Linked DNA regions of Diceros bicornis minor. The protein of the gene in region 1 interacts with the protein of each later gene in a pairwise test. Links are inferred from orthologs where the notes say so. Each region holds a gene or a part of one and is shown on either strand. Other genes may lie near its edges.

Region 1 (10,357 bases):
ATCACCATGTGAAGACCTCCCCCAACGTCCTGGCAAACATAGCCCGGACTGGACAGTGAGGCCAGAGAGGCCAAGTTTCCAGCCCATGGTGAGGGTCTCAGGAAGCAACAAATCCAAAGCCTGCATAAGTGAAACAGGACTTCTTTAAAGGCAGCACAGCCCTGCAACCAACAGCCAGGAGAGAGGGAGGGAAGCAGACACCAGAGGCTGGGTAGGCAAGCAGAGAACAGGGACGTCTCATAAGCACTAAAGAAGAAAAGCAGCTCCTTCAGCCACCCCGGCTCCGGCTGAAGACAGTCACCTGCCCTGAACGGAGGCCCAAAGCGAGAAGGAATGCAGGGCATGGAAGCCTGGCGTGGAAGCCTGGCGTGCAGCCTCCAGCCACCTGCCCCAAGAGCAAAGTGCCTGTGAAGTTCCCTACTTTACACCTGAAGCTTGTAGAACATGTGCACAACATACCCTTCTCTGCTTCACTGCACAGTTTTAAACTACTTCTGTAACTCCGAGGCTCCAGAACAGGTAGGATCAGATTAAAGTGCAGTGTTCCCCACACACCAAGAAACCTCCTTCCTCAAACACTTCCCTCTAGGTTAGGCAGCTTCCTCTCCACTTCCCGGAGCCTAAAGTCCCAGGGCGACAGTGTTACCTTGTTGAGACAGCACTTCCCAATTCTCTGCAGCAGCTCGTTTGTTCTCTCAGGCTCGTGCCCGGCCACGATCCGGGCTGGTTTTGCCGACAGTGGCTCTCCTGAAACCATGACCACCACGTCTATGGCCTTCTGAAGGAAGCTAATTTTTGCATCTTTATCCTGAAAGATTTCCATTTAAAATACAAATATTAAAATACTTCAAAAAGAGTTTGCACTATCTTCAGTATGTTCAACAGGCACAGTTCCTATTTATATAAACAGCTATTTTTAGATGTATGTCAAATTTAGAAATACTGACTCTGTATAACAAAAGGAAAATAATTCATTAAAGCTTTTAATCTTAGTTCATGGGCTAGCACTAACCTCAGAGACACTAATTCCATTTCTCAATGGGTAAAATTAGCGTGATACGTAGTTGCCCAAAATTAGAAAACGAAATAAGAACGGGTATACAGCAGTTCACGACTTAATCCACCTTGTCTTCTTACCATCTATCAGCATATAAATGACACACGCCACAGATACAGCTTATAAAAACCCCCATTCATTAAGGCGAGGGGGTGGAACCTCCCCCAAACCTACCTTAACATTATCAGACTTCATCTCAGTGTCCGTGTAGAGGCCTTTCATGAAACCAGTCATCCTAATCACCTTCAAAAGATAAAGCAAGGCCATGGTCAGCACCTCACGGGACAGCCTCCTCAGCAGCCTCATCCACCGAACCCCAGGCTCAGGGGCTGTCAGAATCTGTCTGCACCCAGAATCTAATTCATTCACTCACTCCACAAACACGTGAGTGTCTACCATGTGGAAGCCTTGTACCAGGCAGAAGCCCACCTGGCTGTGGGGACAGGCCAACATTACAAAGACTTGCAGGGTGCTAAGGGAGCCCCGCTCAGAACCTAATCCAAATGCGGGAGGGGCGAGGGGCGTCAGGGAACACTTCCCAGAAGAAATCCTGTCTAAAGTGAGCAGAGGCTGACAGGAGAAAAGTCGGGGGAGGGAGTATTCAGGAAGCGTGTGCCAGGATAACAAAGAGTCCCCGCAAGGTCCAGAGCCAAGAGGGTCCTGTTCTCAGGATCAAAGGAAGTTGGGATGGGAGGAGCCTGAGGCCAGAGTCAGGCAGGGGCCTGGCCTGGATGGCCTTCCAAGCCATTCAGGAATGCGGACTTAGTCTTGGGAACAAGAGGAGGCCGTGAGAGGTTCAAAAGCAGGGAATGGCATCTTACAAGGGTCACCCAGGCTTGGTGGAGAGAATGGATCTTGGAAAAAAAAGGAACTTCTCAGCCTGGGTTTCTGACAGTGGACGGAAAGGTCTTCCTCACCACTGTGCTGCTCACTTCCTAGGACACAGGGGTGCTCTCTGCCGTATCACTTTTGTTCTCTCCCCTAGTCAACCTGTACCTCCCAAATACCCCTAAAACGAGCTCTTGGGTGGTGATTTTCTCTGTTCCTCCCCACCCCTACACACAGCCAGGGCCCTGGGTTCCCTCAGACACAGTTTTTCAAAATGTGGTAGATCACTGTAAAATCAACATAATGGGTAGCAATAAGCATTTTAAAAAAATGAAACAGAAAAGAAAATATTAGAATGTATTGTATGTGGTAAGGATGAATATGTCTATGGGTGAATATGTCCTGGGTGGATACAGAGCATATTTATTACTGCATGTTCAAAAAAAAAGAAGACAGTCCCTCTGCTAATATCAGGCTCCTTCTCTGACACCAAGCTACAGCTAGCTATTAATTAAGTCAGCTTTCATTCCTCATCAAACTACTTAAGAGCTGTGCCATTATTTTTCCTGATAAGACAGGTGGAATATTACGAGTATCCTGCACTTAACATTCTTGGAACTTTTTCATTTTGTCTCTTTTGAGGTTTTCCCAGTTTGCTTGCAATTAAAATTGTGAGCAATAATTTTAAGTGATGAGACATTAATGTCACAAGATCAACACTTGGATTTATAAAAGAGGCAGAATTAGTTTAACTGTAGCTAAAATACTAATATGGTGACTTGACTATAATGCTCAGGGGCAGTAAAGAATTTTCATAGAGGTTCTTCCCCTATTATCTAAAAATCCTTTCCAATATTTCAATCATCCTAATATCTTTATCAAGTGGGTGACAATTAACATATTTATCTTTACACCGGTAGAGAAATTCATTTCGGCATTAGATTAGGAAAAATCTGTGAAAGAAAAGCAGGTGAGTGGCTCCTGATAGGGAACGCTTCACTCCTTCCACACAGCCTGGCTACCTGGCCAATCACACCAATTCCTGCTTGCATGTTCCTCCTCCTCCTCCATTAAGATGCCCTCCGACCTTCCAGGAGGTGGGGACAGCAGCCACCGTGAGCCCAGCCCCACACCAAGACCCACAGGATGAGGCACGTCCCCCCGCCTCCTCCCTGGCTCTGTTTCAGCGGGGAGACAGGACTAACACAGAAAAGTGTGAGGCTGTGGCAGCAATTGCCGCAGTCAGCCAGGCTGACTGACTTGTTCCCTCCTGGGCTGGAGGACGCTACTTCACAGGGTGGAGGCGATGCAGCACACAGCCCTGTCCCTTCCCCAGACACTGTCCAGGACAGGTGTAAGTGCTGCACTAGCTGCACAAGGAGGCAGCGGCCAGTCAAGACGACCCTTGGGATGTGGATGGGATTCCAGAGAATTTTAAGCACAATTAGGGTTTTCAGCACAGAGGCACACATTATAAGCTAAATTAAGATGGCAGAAACAAGCAAAGAAAAGTTTGTGGAAGAGTAAGATGCCCAACCTGTTGAGAAGAGTGAGAAATAAAGTTTGAGGACCAACACAGGGTGAGATAGCAGCCCCCCGAAGCCTGCAAGTTCAACGTGATTCCTAATTCCCAAAGAGCATGCCTGAGTTCCCAGGTTCAACACGGCCCCCCCAGGTGCACCATGGAAATGGGCGATGCCACCCTGGGTTACCAGGAGCCTTGACAGAGTCCATTCAACAATGAATGTTTGTTGTGCACCTTCTGTGTACCGTACCCAGTGCAGCTCACCCAGGATATGCCAACAAAGAAGTTACAGTCTCCATCATTCAGAAATTCACCATCCAGTGGGGAAAAGTTACAGACAACCAAACACCACTCAGGGCAGGCTGTGCCATTTACCAGCAAACACTAACCTGCTCTTTTATAGTTTTTCCTTTCGGGACCCCCTACAACCACCTTCAGTAAATTCACCCACAGGTATTTATTAAGTATCCAACATGTGGTGACCACTGTGCTCTGCAGTGCAGTGGGAAACTTGACCGGGGAAGGGGGGGGGGCGGTATAAAGAAGAATAATTTCATTCTCCCAGGATTTCTGAGCACCTTCCACGTGCTAGGCACTGCAGGAAAAAAAAATCACAGAAACAACTCTGCCAGGGAAAATGGAAAATGTGCTCTAACAGATACACGGGTAGGCTGGAAAGAATTAATGCTCCCTGAGGAGCTGGGAGTCTCCCCGGAAGAGGCAGCCCTGGGGGATGGGTGAGAACAGGAGAGCAGGGATGAGCGCGAGGAACTCCGCGCAGAGGTACTGCGGAATTGGGCCCAGTGGTCGCCCCTCCCGGCTGCAGGCCAGGCCAAAGGCCGGGCTCCTCGGGCAGGCGCCGCGCACAGCGACGCGAGGCCGGACCCCGACCCCCAACCCCGACTTGGACCGGGGCCCTGACCCCCAGCCCGCCACCCGGGCGAACCCCTGACCCCCGCCGTGGGCCCCGATCCCCAGCCCGCACCCCGACCCTGACCCCGGACTCGCACCCCGGCCCCGACCCCCGCCGTGGGTGCTGAGCCCCGACCCGCACACCGGCCCTGACTCGCACTCCGGCCGCGACCCCGACCCGCATCCCGGCCCCGACCCCCACCGTGGGTCCTGAGCCCTGGCCCGCACCCAGGCCCCGGTCAGGCGCCCACCTCCGTGATGATGTCGTGCAGGTAGCGGAACGGGGGCTTGCACAGCAGCTTCTCCGTCAGCGGCGGCCTCCGGATCACCTTCCCCAGCGCCTCCTGCGTCCGCTTCACCACCGCCGCGTTCATGGCGGCGGCGCCCGCGCCCTGCCGGCCCGCCGAGCCTAAGCCCCACTGCCCGGCCGCCTGCAGCACCGCCGCCGCCGCCCGCTCCAGCCTCGACGAGCCGCTGGGGTTTCCATCCCACAGTGCACCGGAGTCCGCCAAGGCGCGTGCGCGGGGCCGCGGCGCTCGGTCGCCAGGGCGGCGCGGCCCTAGAAACGGACGCTCCCGGCGCCCCGCCCACCACCCGCCGGCTGCGCGCGCACGCTGGGTCGGGTCTGCGGGAGGACGGCCTCAGCCTCCCGGTGCGGGGACAGCGCCCGCCTTCTCTCTGGGCCCTCACGACAGCCTCAGGAATCGCCCCGAGGTACAGGTGACCGCGCTTCCAGACTTCCAAGATTTGTGTTGCTCCTTTCACAGGTTTCAAGGGGACTGAACTAAGTTGTCTCAAAAGACACGGGTTAGAAAATGCCCTATCCTGTCTGTTACTTACTATGGCTTCTTGGGCAAGTAACTCTTGGTCTCTGAGATTTCGTTTCTGTTCCTATGAAGGTAGGATAATAATGTGCCAGCCTGCCTCCCTAACTGCCAAATGACGTGCCAGCGCTTTGTAACCGGGACGAAGCCACGCCCTGCTGTTCTACCAGGTGTGTGTGGTTCCGTCCCACCGTCTTCCATCCGCCATGCCCAGGCTCTCTGCAGGTCCTTCTAGCAATCTGGAAGCTTTGTGGCCTGTCTTTAGTTCTTCTGATGGATATCTTCATAACTTTACATTCATTTTTGCTATTTTCAGTGCTCTTCATTCTTTGTGTACATCCAGATTTCCACCTGGGATCATGCTTCTCCTGTCTGAAGAACTTCCTTTACCATTTCTTTTAGCACAGGTCAGCTGGCAATGGATGCTGTCACTCTTTGTCTGAAAGTCTTTATTGCACCTTCACATTTGAAAGATAGTTTCACTGACTATAGAATTCTGGGTTGACATTTTTGTTTCTTTCAGTACTTTAAAGGTTTTACTCCATTGGCTGCTGGAATATATAGTTTCTGAAGAGAAGTCCCCTGTGGTTCTTATCTTTGTTCTGTCTGTTGTGTCTCTGACTGCCTTCAAGATTTTCTTTTTATCATTGGTTTTCATAAATTTGTCCATGATGTATGTGGGGTTTTTTTGGGGTTTTTTGCTCAAATTTGTATGTAGGGGCCAGCCCAGTGGCATAGTAGCTAAGTTCGGCACCCTCCACTTCGGCGGCCTGGGTTCGCGGGTTCAGATCCCTGTCAAGGACCTACACCACTCATCAAGCCGTGCTGTGGCCGTGACCCATATACAAAATAGAGGAAATATTGGCACAGATGTTAGCTCAGGGCCAAGCTTCCTCAAGAAAAGAGAGGAAGATTGGCAACAGATGTTAGCTCAAGGTCAATCTCCCTCACCAAAAAAAAAAAAAAAAATTGTATTTGATTATTATTTACATACAATAAAATTCACCCATTTTAGGTGTGAAAGTTGATGCAGTTTGATAATTATATACAATTATGTTGCCACCACCATGATCAAGATATAGAGCAGTTCCTGCACACCCTAAAATATTTCCTCCTGTTCATCTACAATCCATCTCCTCCTCCCCTGCCCCCAGCCCTAGGCAAATCTGGTTTCTGTCATTATAATTTTACCTTTTCTAGAGTTTCATGTAAATAGAATCATACAGTACATACATTTTTTGTTTAATTCTTTGTCTTATAATATTTTTGAGATTCATCTGTGTTGCTACATCTATTGATATGTCATTCCTTTTTGTGGCTGAGTAGTATTCCATAATACAATTTGTTTATCCATTTACCAGTTGATGGACATTTCGTTTGCTTTCACTTTTTGATTATTTACGAATAACACTACTAAGACCATTCACATCTAAGTCTTTGTGTGAACATAAGTGTTCATTTCTCTCGGGTAAATATCTAGGACTGGAATTACTGGGTTGTATGGTAAGAATATGTTTAACTTTACAAGATATTACCATACTGTTTTCAAAGTGGCTACACCATTTTTCATTCCCACCAGCAACATATGGGATTTCCAGTTTCTCCATATCCCTGCCAACATTTGATATGTCAGTCTTTTTAACTTCAGTCATTCTAGTGGGTGTATAATGGTATTTTATTATGGTTTTAATTTGCATTTCTCTAGTGATTAGTGATTTTGAGCATCTTTTTGTATACTTGTTGGATATTCATATGTACTTGGTGAAGATAGCCCATAAAGTATCATTCTGGCATTTATGGAATGACTGCTATGTGCTGAGTACTGTCTAGGTGCTGCAGATTTCATGCGGAACCATGTACCTTCTAGTAAGCAACATTCACACCGTCCACTGCTGTCCACTGCTCCTGGGAACATCACTCTCATTGTTGCTAACTTTATGCGGGATGATGTAAGCGTCGGTCACCTAGACAGAGGCCAGGTGAACCGCCAAGGCTCACCTCCCTCCAGCAGTGTCAACCTCGCTTCTTTCCACGATTTACCACGCAGGTGGGCTGGCTGTAGGCAACTTTACTGAGAGGTTGAGAGAAGCCTAAGAGAGTGACAACCCACGAGGGAAGGAATTTGACAACACTCACTGTATACAACTATGCCGTGATCAATGGGGAAAAAAGCCCCCAGCAAATTGCACCCTTCGAGGGAGTCCCCCCCGGGTAGCCTTCAGTTGTTAACCCTGCTCCCCGGCTTCCAGATCTACCTCCTTGGCCAGAGCACCTCCATCCTCTGACCCCTGCCTTGTCAAATCTCCCTGACTTTCTGGAAACCCCACCCTCTACCCATGGAAGCTTTTGTGTCTTCCCATCCACTCCCTTTCTCTCAGCACTACATTTCCCAGAGTCTGGGTTCTCCAGTCCAGTCTCACACCCCAAGGCCTTGGCAGGACAGTCCACTGTGGCATTCAGCACCTGGGTCCCTTAGAACAATCCAGGGTGATGGACACTGTGAATTGGTCTCCTTCCTGGGCTCCCAGGTTCCTGTTATTCTCCTGATTGTCCACACACTTATCTTTATCACATGTGTATCTGGCTTCCCAAGAACAAATATTAATTCAAACAGTTCATCAAACCCCATAAAGAAGATTAAAATAGTTTCCCAGCTGCCTTATCATTTCTGAACATCCTCACCCACACAAACTAATACTTCACATTCACATGGAGAACGGTGTCAGCTCCCTTCCTTCTCCTTCCCCACCCACCACCCCATCCCCACTTCAGGCCCCCAAGGGGCTTTTAAAAGGGGAGACATAGTGAGACTGCATACTTCTTCATGGCTGGGCCCTTAGTTCACAAAGGCTGGCCCGAAGATCTGAAATGATGAAGCCCTGAGACAAAGATACACGAGCTCCCTGCCCTCCAGGTGTTAAGGAAAGAGAGGGTAGGATGTCATTCTCACAGGATGGCCAGGTAGAGCCCCTGGGGGCTGCACCAGATGCAGAAGATGCTGTGGTGTCTGAGAGCTGGAGTGTCCCACCAAGACATCTTCCCTGACCTGCTCCCCATGGCCAAGCTGAGACCCCAGAAGCTCCTGTGAGGAGCAGCCACCTCTGAGCTCTGAAAATGACTGTGGTCAGCCTGAGCGGGGATGGAGGGGAGACTCAGGCCTCTGACTCCAAGTGCCCTGCCTTCTTGACAGACACTCCCCAGCTCCCTCCCCGGAAAGTTCATGCCAGGCAGAATCCTTCTCTGGGCCCAGGGCTGTAGGGGCAACCTGCTTTTCTGTGAGCGGTCAACCAGAGACCAGAGCGGTAGGGAAGGTAGGTGTGGCAGTGGAGAGCCCTCTGGCCACTGAGGTTCCACTGAGGACCTCATCCAGTGCCACACGAGGGGGAAGCCTAATTCTGATTTCTCTCACAGACTGTGGAGAGCAGAGGGGTCATCTAGGCCGAGGAGACCCTTTGGAAGCCTGAGGGCACAGGTCTTGCTATTCTCCTGAGGACCACAGGGCCATGAGAGAGGGTCTGAGAGGATCTGGAACAAGGGAGCGTAGCTGCCCTACCCCACTGAGGGCCTGTCTGGGGGAAGGTGGCCGTGGAGTGGACACTTGTCCCTGGAGGTCACAGCCTCTGGGGAGTGTTCTCCTGGCCATCCACTGTGTCCTCCTGAGGCCACAACACTGCCCCTAGGCAAGTCCATCCCTCCACACAAAAGAGCAGGAGGGCGGTCTGGGCCCTGGGAAAGCAGGGCAGAGAAGATGCAGCTGAGGAGTCCCGACTCCAAGAAAGAAACCTGGAATCAGGACACGGGGGTGGGGAGTGCAGAGGCCAGCCCGGAGCCTCCAGTTCTGGGCACAAGCTGGATGGGGGGCCCTGTAGCCTGAATAACCCTTGAGTGCCTCAGAGTCATGAAAGGATGAGAGGAAAAGGCACAGAACATAAAAAAAGTCATTCATGAAAAAAAGAAAATTGATTAAATAACTATAGAAAATTGCAGCAAAGAAAGAGTTTGAAACACAAAAGGCTGGCAGGAGATGCTTTTGAAATAAGCAGGTTCTGAATAAATGAATGAATGAGATACCCATGGTCTTGACACCCCAGGAGAGAGAGCGCCGCAAAGCCAGATGTCTCCAGGCCCTGTCTCCCCTGCCTGAGAGGCAAACATTCCCCAAGACAAAGGCCTGGAGGGCCAGCCTAGCCCAACCCTGAGCTCCACATCTGCGAAGAGCCCAGGATGTGGGTCAGCCTGCGGGAAGGGTTGGGGAGGCAGGTACCAGGTGGGAGGAGAAGTGGTCCAGAGCCTGGAGACAGCCTCACCAGCCCTGGGTCCAAGACAGGACTCAGAAGGGCAGACATCAGTCTGTGCAGCCGGTCAAGTGCCTGGCTGTATGCTCCATCCTTTAAGCAGGGAGGTGACTGACACCGTTTTTTGAAACCTGAGGGGCCTGCATAGAAGGCCTTGTCCCCAACCCTAGAGAAAAAGAAGACAAAGCCTTCCATCTGTTCCTAAACTTGCTAAGATAGTTTCTGCCTTGGGACCTTTGAACTTGCTGGTCCCTTTAGCTGAATAAGAATAACACTCTTCCCCCAGATCTTCATATGGCTGGATCTTTGCCATTATTCAGGTCTCAGCTCACATGTGACATCCTCAGAGATAACAAAAGTAAAGCACATCTGAACTCAACAGTTACTTACTTCATTTTCCATAAAGTACTTATCATTCTCCGAAAGTAGTTTTAGTATTCATATCTGTCTTTTTGTTTTGCCCCACCCCAAAATCCCCCCAGAAAGTGAGTTCCGTGAATCCAAAGCCTGGGTGATTTGCTCACCTCTGAATTCCCTATACCTTCAACACTTTGAGACACATATAGGCACTCAATTATTATTGGCCGAATGTTGAGTAGATTATGCTCTTATCAAAATTGCTCTTTCCAAAGGGCTCTTCATAATATGGTTTGCTTATACCACAATTTTAAATGAAAAAATCAAACTATAATGTTACATAGACAATTGATCTCAGTAATGTTCTGTGTGTGTGTGTGTGTGCGCGCACATGTATGTGTGAATCAGTCCAGCAGTTTCAAGGTTTCAGAGATTATCTGGGAGTTGGGATAATGGGACATTTCTTCTGCTGCTTTATACCACATTGTAATTTAGATTTATTTCTCAATAGTAATAACTTTTAAATCAAAAACAAAAGTTAAAAGTTGTCAGAGGAAAC
Region 2 (9,553 bases), on another chromosome or scaffold:
CCTCCTCTCCTACTCCTCCACTGAGGGGAGAGTCACGGCTTACTGGGGTATGTGTGTGTTTGTGAGTATGTGTGTGTGGAGTGTGTGTGCATGTGTTTGTGTGTGGTGCATATGTGGTGTGTATGTGTGTGATCTATGTGTGTGTGTGTGTGGTATATATGTGGTGTGTATGTGTGGTGTGCGTGTGTGGTGTGTATTTGTGTATTTGTGTGTAGTATGTGTGTGGTGTCTGTGCGTAGTGTATATGTGTGTCTGTGTGTGTAGCCGGTGTGTGTGGTGTATATGTGGTGTGTGTATGTGTATTTGTGTGGTGTGTGTGGCATACGTGTGTGTCTGTGTGTGTGTGGAATATACGTGGTGTGTGTTTTTGTGTATTTGTGTGGTGTGTGTGTGTGTGGTGTGTATGTATTTGTGTGTGGTGCCTGTGTGTGTGTATGTGAGTATCTGCGTGTAGTGTATGTGGTACACATGTGTATGTGATTTGTGTATGGTGTCTGTGTGTGGATTGTGTGTGTGTGGTGTCTGTGTGTGGATTGCATGTGTGTGGTGTCTGTGTGTGTGGTGTCTGTGTGTGTGTGTGTGTGTGTGGTGTGAGCCCACTTTCCGGGGTGAAGTGTCCCCATATAAAACGCCCTTCCTGAGTCATATATGTGGTGATGGACAAACAAAAATGTACAACCCAAAATTTCACAATGTTAGAAACCATTAAAACATCAATAAAAAAAAAAAAAATGCCCTTCCTCCGGGGGGAGGGTGATGAATGGACCAGAAGGGCCGCCCCTATCTCCTTCCTCCCCCCGGTAACTCCCAGGGGCCCTGATGCCCAAGTCATTGGAGAATCCAGGCTTCCTGGTGCGGAATGTGCCAGGAGGTGAGTCGGCTGCCCCATCAGGAGTGGCAGCCTCTGTGAGGGCCGAGAACGCCAGGCCAGGTGGGAAGGCGGCCACCAGGTTTGAGTGCTGCTCCCTGCCGACCAGCTTTCTGGCTTGGGACAAGTCAGTCCACCTCTGGACCCAGATTTCCACTTCTCGAAATGGTGAAAAATCTCACCAACCCCATGTGGTTCTTGTGAAGATTAAGTGAAATACTGGATTCAAAATGTAGACACAACTTCTGTTCCCAGGTGGGCTACAAGGTAACAACTGAATCTGCTTTTGTACCAGGGAGGCATCCACAGTAGTGAACAGCTGCTCAAAGGCGGGGGACAGACCCCATCAGGCAAAATCCCAGTGGCCGAGCATTTCCGGCTCCCAGGGCGTCCTCCCAGGCAGCTGCTCAGGGACAGCTCTGAGCCCTCGGGATGACAGATCACAGGCGCTACTTGGAGAGACAGTCGCGGGAGAGGGGCCCCACACCCCTCTCCCCACCACCACTGGCTCCTCAGTGGAGCCTGCAGTGACCGGGAGGGTCTATGCCTCTCTCCTATCCATCCATCCATTCATTCCTTCATTTACAAATATTCCGAGTGAGGACATGCCGGGAAAGAGTGAGGCCTTGGAGCTGAGATGACCCGCAGGCTAGCCAAGCCTTGGCGCTCGCGTGGGCACACACATGCACATACAAGTACACCCACACGCACACACACCCTGCACAGACTCACCTTCTCCAGGAGCTGCCTCAGCTGTTTCGTGCGGGCATCTCGTGAACACATGGTCTGCTGGGGAGCAACCACTGTGCAGATACACCTGCCCTCGCTGTCCTGGGCAGAGCTGTACACCTGCCAGCTCTCCTCAGGGTTGGTGGGCAACACCTGGGCGGAGGGAGAGGGAGGGAGAGAAAGGGAGACCGTAAGGTAGTGTACCAGGGACAAAACCAGGGGGCATCGTCCACATCCGACCCCCCGGGGGAAAAGGCAGAAAGCAATGGTCCAAAGACACGTTCTGACCACGAAGAGGGAAAGGGGACCCCAGGAACAGAGACAGTCTCCCGTCAGGATCCCCAGGACTGGAAAGGAGTCAAACCGTCACAACTCTTTACATTTTTTTTTTTTAAATTCAAGGGGTTTTTAAATTTAAGGAATGTTTGGAGTTTTGGTATCTGACCAAATTGATCCATTAAGTAGAAGGGAGGGGTGACCAGAGGCAGGGAAGCAAGAGGCTGGCTGACTCACAGTGGGCACGTAATTCAGAAATAAGATCTCCTCCCGTAAGGCAGGCAGGGGTGGCCGGCGCAGCCTCACTCTGCAGCTCCCTGACGCTGGGAGATGAAGCACGGGCCCTAATAGCTGGGATCCAGCAGCCTATTAGCCCAGAGCTGCAACGACCCTGAGCCCCAGCAATCTTCCCGCTGGCAGCCTGGCGAAGACTGCCCGAGAGAACGCCGGGCTTCCCACTCTGCACAGGCTGCCACCCACAAGCCATTTGGTGGATGTCACCGAGTTGCTGGTGACATGTTGTGCAGGGGTCACACCCAACCTCAGTCCTGAGGTGTGCCCAAGGACCACCAAGAAACCAGAGCTGCACATGGCTGGTGACATGGTGACATGGCTGGTGTCACCTTGCCTTGCAGCCCAGCTCAGGTAGTCCTGACCACCAGGTACACAGGGCAGACACTGCTGTTGGAAAACACCCCCTGAACACAGACTGTTCCCCCACTGCAGCCTGCCCAGTTGCCTCAGGTCACCTCCCTGCTATTTTTAGCACGAGGGCGGGGAGAAGTTGGTGGGAGAGTCCATAGTATCATTACATTTCATTTCATTCATTGCCAACCTCAGAAGCTCAGGGCCCAGAAGCAGGAACAGAGACATTATGAAGCAAACACGGTGCATGCAATTCTCGAAACAGCAGGTGAGGTGAACGTGAGAACGCTCTTAGGAGGGGGTCACACGGAGACCTCCCGCCGGAGCACTGCGCCCTTGGCAGCCAGAAGGGAGCGGGCGAGGACACTCGTGTCCTTCACCTCTCCTTTCAGCTCAGAGGGAGCCGGGCCTGGGCGCGCCCCTTCCTCCGTGAGCCCGGCCTGGCGCTCACGGGTGGCTCTGGCTCAGCCTCCGCTCCAGCCACCATCTAAGTTAGCCCTGCCCAGAAGCGACCCGGGCCACACGCCCCTCCCCCAAGGCATCGAGAGGAAAGGAGAAACGATTTGAGAGGCAGGGCGGGAGGGGTGCACGGTAGGCAAGGGGTCGAGCTCCGCTGCAAGTGGCTCCCGGGGGCCCCGTCCTGGGCCCCACGGCACTCTCCTCCACGGGACCCCAATGACCTCCGTCCGTACGGGGATGGGGAGGGAAAGGCGCCTCGGGACTTTGGAACGCGCAGGCAGGCGAGGGCACCAGCTCCCAAGCCCGCCGCCCGGCCGGGCCCCACTCCGGGCTGGGTTCAGTCCGGCTTTCACAAAGTAGGGCGGGCTCCGTTCAGAGCCCTGGCTGGACCAGCCAGCCCGGGATGGAGCGGCGGCGTCTCCACCCCTCACTTGCAGAGTGACCTTGGACAAATCCCCAAGTCCCCCGCCTCAGCTTCCCAACCTTATCAATGAGAGACTTAGTTGAACGAGGACTCCAAGCCTCCGAGCTCCTGAGCAGGCTCCCCTCGCCCCACGAGGGGACCAGGCAAAGGAAGGAAGCGTCGCCGGGGAACCGCAGCCGGAGGAGTGGCCGGGGCTGGGGGCGTGGGGAGCAGGGTCACCCCGCAGCGCGGAGGAGCCGCCTCGGGACCCCTGCGCGCGCCCTTGCTCCTGCGCCCTGCGCCCCGCGCGGCGCCCGCCCAGCCCTGGGTTGGAGGTCGGGGAGGGAGCGGGAGAAGGGCCCCGAGAAGGCGGGCGGCGGGCGCACTTACGCCGGTGCTGCGGTCGAGCGTCCCGCCGCTGGCCGCCGAGAGCTTGGTGGTGTTGAGGCCCACCAGCGAGGGCAGCGTCTGGGACATCCAGTTGGTGATCATGGCCATGGTGCTCAGCACAACCCCGATCTTGAGAAGCGGCACCGACATCGCGCCTCGAGTCGCCGCCTGCGCCCGCGCCGCGCCGACGCCGGCTCCGCGCCCCAGGCAGCCTTCAGGCGGCGGGCACCGCGGCGGGCAGGGGCGCCCGGCCGTGTCCCCGCGCCCCCTCGGCCCGCCACCGCCCGCCCGCCGCCGCCGCCGCCCCGCGCGCCCGGGCCATGGCTACGCCGCCTCCGGGCGCCAGGGAGAGTGGCCGCCGGCGGCCGCTGCCCGCCCCGCCGCTGCCCGGTGCCTGGTGCCGCCGCGTCCCTCCGCGTCCCTCCGCGCTCTGCCGCCGGGAAGGGCCGCCCGGCTCTGCCTCTGAGCGCGGCGCGGGCTGCGCGCTGGGGCCGTGGCCGGGAGGCGGGGACACGGTCGGGCGGCGGCCGACGCAATCCGCCCAGGAAATGGGTGGATTTTTCCTCTCCGCTCTGGCTCCCCGCCGCCCCCTGGCTGCTGGCAGCGAGATCTGCAAAGCCCCGTCGCCGAGGAGTTGGGATAGGGTGACCCGGCAGCCGAGACGGACCACCGTCACCCAAGTCATAAAAGTCCGCCCGCGGCAGGGCGGCTGCCTAAGCTGCACGGATTGGCCGCTGCCCTCTCACCCTTACGGCCGACAGCTGAGCGAGGCCCAGGCACCCCTCTGAGACACCCCCTCCCAGGGCCCGGTGCTCCCCGACTGCTGGAGACCTACTGCACTCCCTGCCAGCCTGGGCCGCCCCTTGAAACCCAGCCGGGAGGGCGAGCTCCTGGCCGGCTCCGAAAGCAGCCCTTCATGGGGGTCTCCAGCCCCAGCACTGGGGGAGGGGAAAGGGGTGTAAGAGGAAAGACCCTCCTAGGACCCCGGGAAGCCAGGTGCTCTAAGGCCTTTGGGAGGAAGGGAATCTCCTGGCAGCTGCCAACACCGACCAGTGTGGGCTCCTGGGTGTGGGTGTGAGGGGTGGGTGCACGCAGGAGGGGCCCCAGGAGTGTGCACACAGTGGAGGAGCTGGGTGCAGGTTTGGGGCTCTGGCAGGGGCAGGGAGCTAAAGGGGCCCCACCCATGAGGAGTGTGATGTGGGTGGGGCAGGTCAGGGACCTGGGGTCTGTGGTTGGGGGCAGGAGTGGGTATCCTCACTGCTTCCTGTGTCCCTGTGGGGGGACTGGAGTCTGGTGCCCAGGCAGAGGGGCAGGGCAGGCTGGCACAAGCCCCCAGCCCAGGACACGACGTGTAAGCCTCCTCAGAAGCCAGCCTGACTCGTCAAACCCCTTAATAGGGCTTTAGAATGTGCAGGAGCCTTCTGACCCAAGATGAAAGACACATCCTCCAGGCCTCCATTGAGCCTTCTCAGCCATTGGGAAGGAAAGAATTGTCCAGATCACTCACCAAGCTCTTTTCTGCCTGGGCAATAATTAATCTCCCTTCCTGGTTGGGGATTGAAAGATGGGGTTGGGAGGAAGGAGCCGGCCTTCCTGGTGTCCACCTAAGATGGACCCCACCTTCCTAGGGCTTCTCTCTGTGCTCTGTACCCTCTTGTAGAAGGGACTCAATGACAGCCGGAGTGTTGGGTGTGAGACCCACCGGCTGAAGGGGCCCCTCGGATTTGTTTTCCTGATGAATACTCAGATCTGTGGCAGCACCTAGGTCGCAGGCGGCGAATTCCAACAGTTGGGGCAGGACGCCATCTCCCAGTGCCAGCAGGTACTGCAGGCTCTGCCTCAGCAGCCCTGATCCACGAGCACAAGGCACCCCTGCGGGGCTGGGAGCCCTCACCCAGGCTCTGCCTCCTCTCTCTTTCAACGAGGATTTGACACAGATTCAGGGCCACAAGTGGAGCCACCAAAATCACTCACACCCGCTTCCCACGGCAGGAGGACAACGACCACTTATTTTGTCGGAACAACTTCAAATCCAGCCCAATCCAGTCCACAAAACTTGCACGCCGGCCGTCTCAGAAGCTGCAGGCATTTGTCACCTACTCAGCACAGGATGTGGGGTACCCTGTGCTGCAGACTCCACATCAAAACCAAGGCACGGACACGGTGTGCCCTAAACCCCAGGACAGAAGCAACACCGAGATGAGAGTAGCAGATTCCTGGGCCCTTGCAGGGCACCCTGCGTGAACTTCCCTACAACCAACCCAGTAGACGCCATTGCGGGAGAGGCATCTCAGAATGGTCACTCCCTGTGCGGACTCTGGAGCCGCAGCTTGGGGGTGAGCCCTGGCTGTGCCACTTACTGGCACTGAGACCCTGACCGAGGGGATTAGCCCATCTGTGCCTCAGTTTCCCCATCTGTAAAATGGGTTTAATAACAGTAACCTTCCTCTCTGGGGTGTTGTGAGGATTAAGTGAGTTAATGCAGGAGCTGGCTTGGTGCCCAATAAGAGAGCCAGTCCTTGTCATCCCCGATTTGCAGAACACCAAACAAGCTCAGAGAGAACCCTCAGGTGAGCGACTGGTGAGAACACGAGGGGCAGGGCTGGGCTCCGATGCCCCCAGAGACCTCTGCTGCCTCTCCTAAGAGCTGCTTTTGGTTAAGACCATCCACAAGAGATGCTGTGATACAGATGGACAATGTGATACAGATGGACAATGTGGAGGAGGTATGGTTGGACACGGAAACCACTCCCTGCAGCCAGAGCCCAGTTCTCGGAAGGTGACACCCCAGGTGGGCAGACACAAAGAATAAAAAAAAAAAAAACAACTCTCCTGTTTTGAGGAACTTCTGATTTGATTTCACGTCAGTAATGTCCCGCAAGGATTTGCAACGGGGACTCTAAATTTGACGAGTGCCAGCTTGGCTGGGTTCTCGACAGAGGGAATGAAATCCAGGTAGTTTGCCACGATGAAGCCAAGTGCTGCTGCAAAGAACCGCTGGAGGCGAGGCGCCCCAGGGATTGATGACCTGCCTTCCCTTCCACCGGCCAGGGACTCTCTCCGACCCTCCAGGGGACGGGCAGTCAGCGCCGGCCTGGAGATTTGAAACCCCCTTCCCCTGTTTCTCCTGAGCCTGCAGGCGCACTGGGGAGCTAGAGAGGGATCCTGGCATCCCTAAGGGCATGGCTGAGAAGCAGCCTTTTAAAAATACAGCTTTGGGTTACTCACACTAGGCTTGCCAAATGTGGACTGCGCCCTGGAGTTCCTCCGGTTCCCTGGGAGCTCAGCTGACCCCGGGAGGTCAAAGCATCGAGAGTGATGGGAGGAAAAGCTGACTCACACCCAACCCGCTGCCTTTAAATCCTAGTCCTCATCTCTTCATTTCTTGTCTGTGTTTATAGAGAACTGAATAGACTCGTTGTCCTTGCTGCTCCCTCCCAGATGGAGCGTGTGGACAGGACAGGGCTGTGCAGTGGATACGGCCCTGCTCCCCATCCACCCGGGAGCCTGCGCCCGAGCTGCTCTCACCTGCACCCCTGCTGCTCTAGCCTGCACCTGTGCTGCTGTACCCTGCACCCTTGCTGCTGTAACCTGCACCTGTGATGCTGTAACCTGTGGGACCCCTGCTGCTCTAGCCTGCACCTGTGCTACTGTAACCTGTACCTGTGCTGCTCTGACCTGCACCCTTGCTGCTGTAACCTGTGGGAACCCTGCTGCTGTAATCTACACCCATGTTGTCACTCCAGCCTGCGCCCCTGCTGCTATAACCAGCTGGGAGGTTCAGGGTTAGTCACTTCCAACTCCTCTAATCCCAAACCAAAGCCCTCTGCAGGTCTGGAGTCTACAGTTCAGTAGGAGAGACCGCTGCTTTTAATGCTTCTGAAGGGCCATCTGAGAAGCCTCGCGCAAGTGAGGACAGACACCGGGCCGCTTTGACACGTCATGATTTGATTTAGAAGACTACGTGATATTTCCAAAAGCAGTCTACGGACTGGTGAAGAATGAAGGCGTTTGGATTAAAGGATCCCTGGTGGCAGCCAACACCAAGTGCTCCTAAGGAGGAATTTAAATCCCAGTTTTCACACGGCTCCCCCTGAAGCAAGTCTCACTTATGTTCGCAACTCTGAATAACCCTCATAAGACGATGGAGCAGGGCTGCACCCCAGACACCCTCAGACTAAGAGCCTGATGTCACTCACTGCTCACAGACGCCCTGGGTGGTGCTCACGTGGGCTCCACTCCACAGAGGAGTTGTTTCAGGCTTAGGAAGATGACAGGACCTGTCCAAGGTCCTATGGGGGGCCAGCTGTTCCCAGGCCAAGTCCAAAACAATGGTCCACATCTACCTTCCAGACGTCATGGTGTCTCAGTCCGTTCAGGCTGCTCTAACAAAACATCACCTACCAGTGGCTTATAAACAACAGATATTTATTGCTCACAGTTCTGGAGGCTGGAAGACCGAGATGAAGGCGCCGGCGTGATTGCGTTCTGGTGAGGGCCCGCTTCCTGGCTCATCGCTGGCGCCTTCTCGTGGTGTCCTCACCCGGAGGGAGGGTGAGGGACCTCTCTGGAGCCTCATTATAGGGCACTAATCCCATTCACGAGGGCGGGGCAGCTCCCAAGGGCCCCCCTCCCAATGCCATTGTCTTTGAGGGTTAGGGTTTCATCACACGAAGGGCAGGGGCATGAACATTCAGACCTCAGCACACGGCCCCTGTGAACTCTCACAGGCCCGGGAGGAGCGTGATCCGCGTGGCCACAGACACCCCGCCACCTGCACAATTCCACGGTGCACAGGGGCCCCCCAGAGACATTTCTGCCCGCGCGTTCCTAGGCCCTCGTCAGAGCCTGTGGAAGGCCATGAGACCGGCCCTCCCTGCGCGGTTCCTGGCTCAGGCCTGCAATGCCGGGGCACCTGTTGTGACGTGTCAAACTGGCCTGGTGTCTGTCCTCACGCCAGCCCCCTCCTGCGCAAGTCCACCTGCGCACGTGAGACAAGAAGGCTGACCTCCACGGCCCCAGGGTTCACGGCTCTCAACATGACGTGAAAGCATCCTCCTGCCTAAAACCCTGTGCTTCTCATGAGGGACAGGCACGCATGGGGGGTGAAGCGTCACCTAATGAAGGCCCACAATGACCGTGTGCCAGCGAGGAGGGCACATCTGCGTGTGTCCAGTCCACAAACAGAAAACCGAGGTCCACAGAGTGAGGACCTGCTGGGGTCTGGGCCAGTCCGCCAGGCTCCTTGGCAAAGAGAGACCCCAAAGGACACAGTTTGGATGCCCTTTTGCTGTTTAAAAATATGCATATTTTCCTTAAGCTATTGGCACATAGCTGGGGGGGGGCCAGGGAGAGGGAGGGAGAGAGAAAGAAGGAGGGAACAGAGATGGGAGAGAAAGAGGGGGCAGGAGCGAGGAGGGGGCCTCACGTGGAGCCACTCTGCTCCCTCCACCCCACAGGCACCCTTTCCAGTCACCCTCCCTGCTGGGGGAGGAATGTTCTTGGAGCAGGGAGAGGACCTGGTCTCCAGCCGGGCATCTGGGAGGAGCCCACGGATCCCCCAAACCCTCTCTCCCAGCAGCCACGGAAGACCGCCACGGGCAGTCCGATCCAAATGTCCCCTTCATTGTGGCCCCTCTGCGGCTCTGGGGGTACACTTGGGCAGACGGCGGTAGACGGTGGTGGATGGCAGTGGACAGCATTATCACTCCTCGCGCCCTTCCTGTAAGAGGATTTTCCTCCTGGCCTATCCCCTTGCGCCTTGCAGTGCCTCCCTTGGGCAG

Evidence for each region. The genes of interacting proteins can lie anywhere in the genome.
Region 2: the proteins of TRAF3IP1 (region 1) and OLFM1 interact in a two-hybrid assay, tested with the Homo sapiens proteins (2 studies listed by BioGRID and IntAct). The link is inferred for Diceros bicornis minor from reciprocal best matches to the Homo sapiens genes TRAF3IP1 and OLFM1.

What each region holds. Positions count from the first base shown.
Region 1 is NC_080776.1:25,700,079-25,710,435, reverse strand, and holds the start of TRAF3IP1 (TRAF3-interacting protein 1), read right to left. Parts: upstream 4,776-10,357; 5' UTR 4,697-4,775; coding exon 4,574-4,696; intron 1,301-4,573; coding exon 1,232-1,300; intron 809-1,231; coding exon 647-808; intron 1-646.
Region 2 is NC_080767.1:41,777,921-41,787,473, reverse strand, and holds the start of OLFM1 (noelin), read right to left. Parts: upstream 4,220-9,553; 5' UTR 3,921-4,219; coding exon 3,771-3,920; intron 1,751-3,770; coding exon 1,601-1,750; intron 1-1,600. UniProt on the Homo sapiens protein: Contributes to the regulation of axonal growth in the embryonic and adult central nervous system by inhibiting interactions between RTN4R and LINGO1. Inhibits RTN4R-mediated axon growth cone collapse.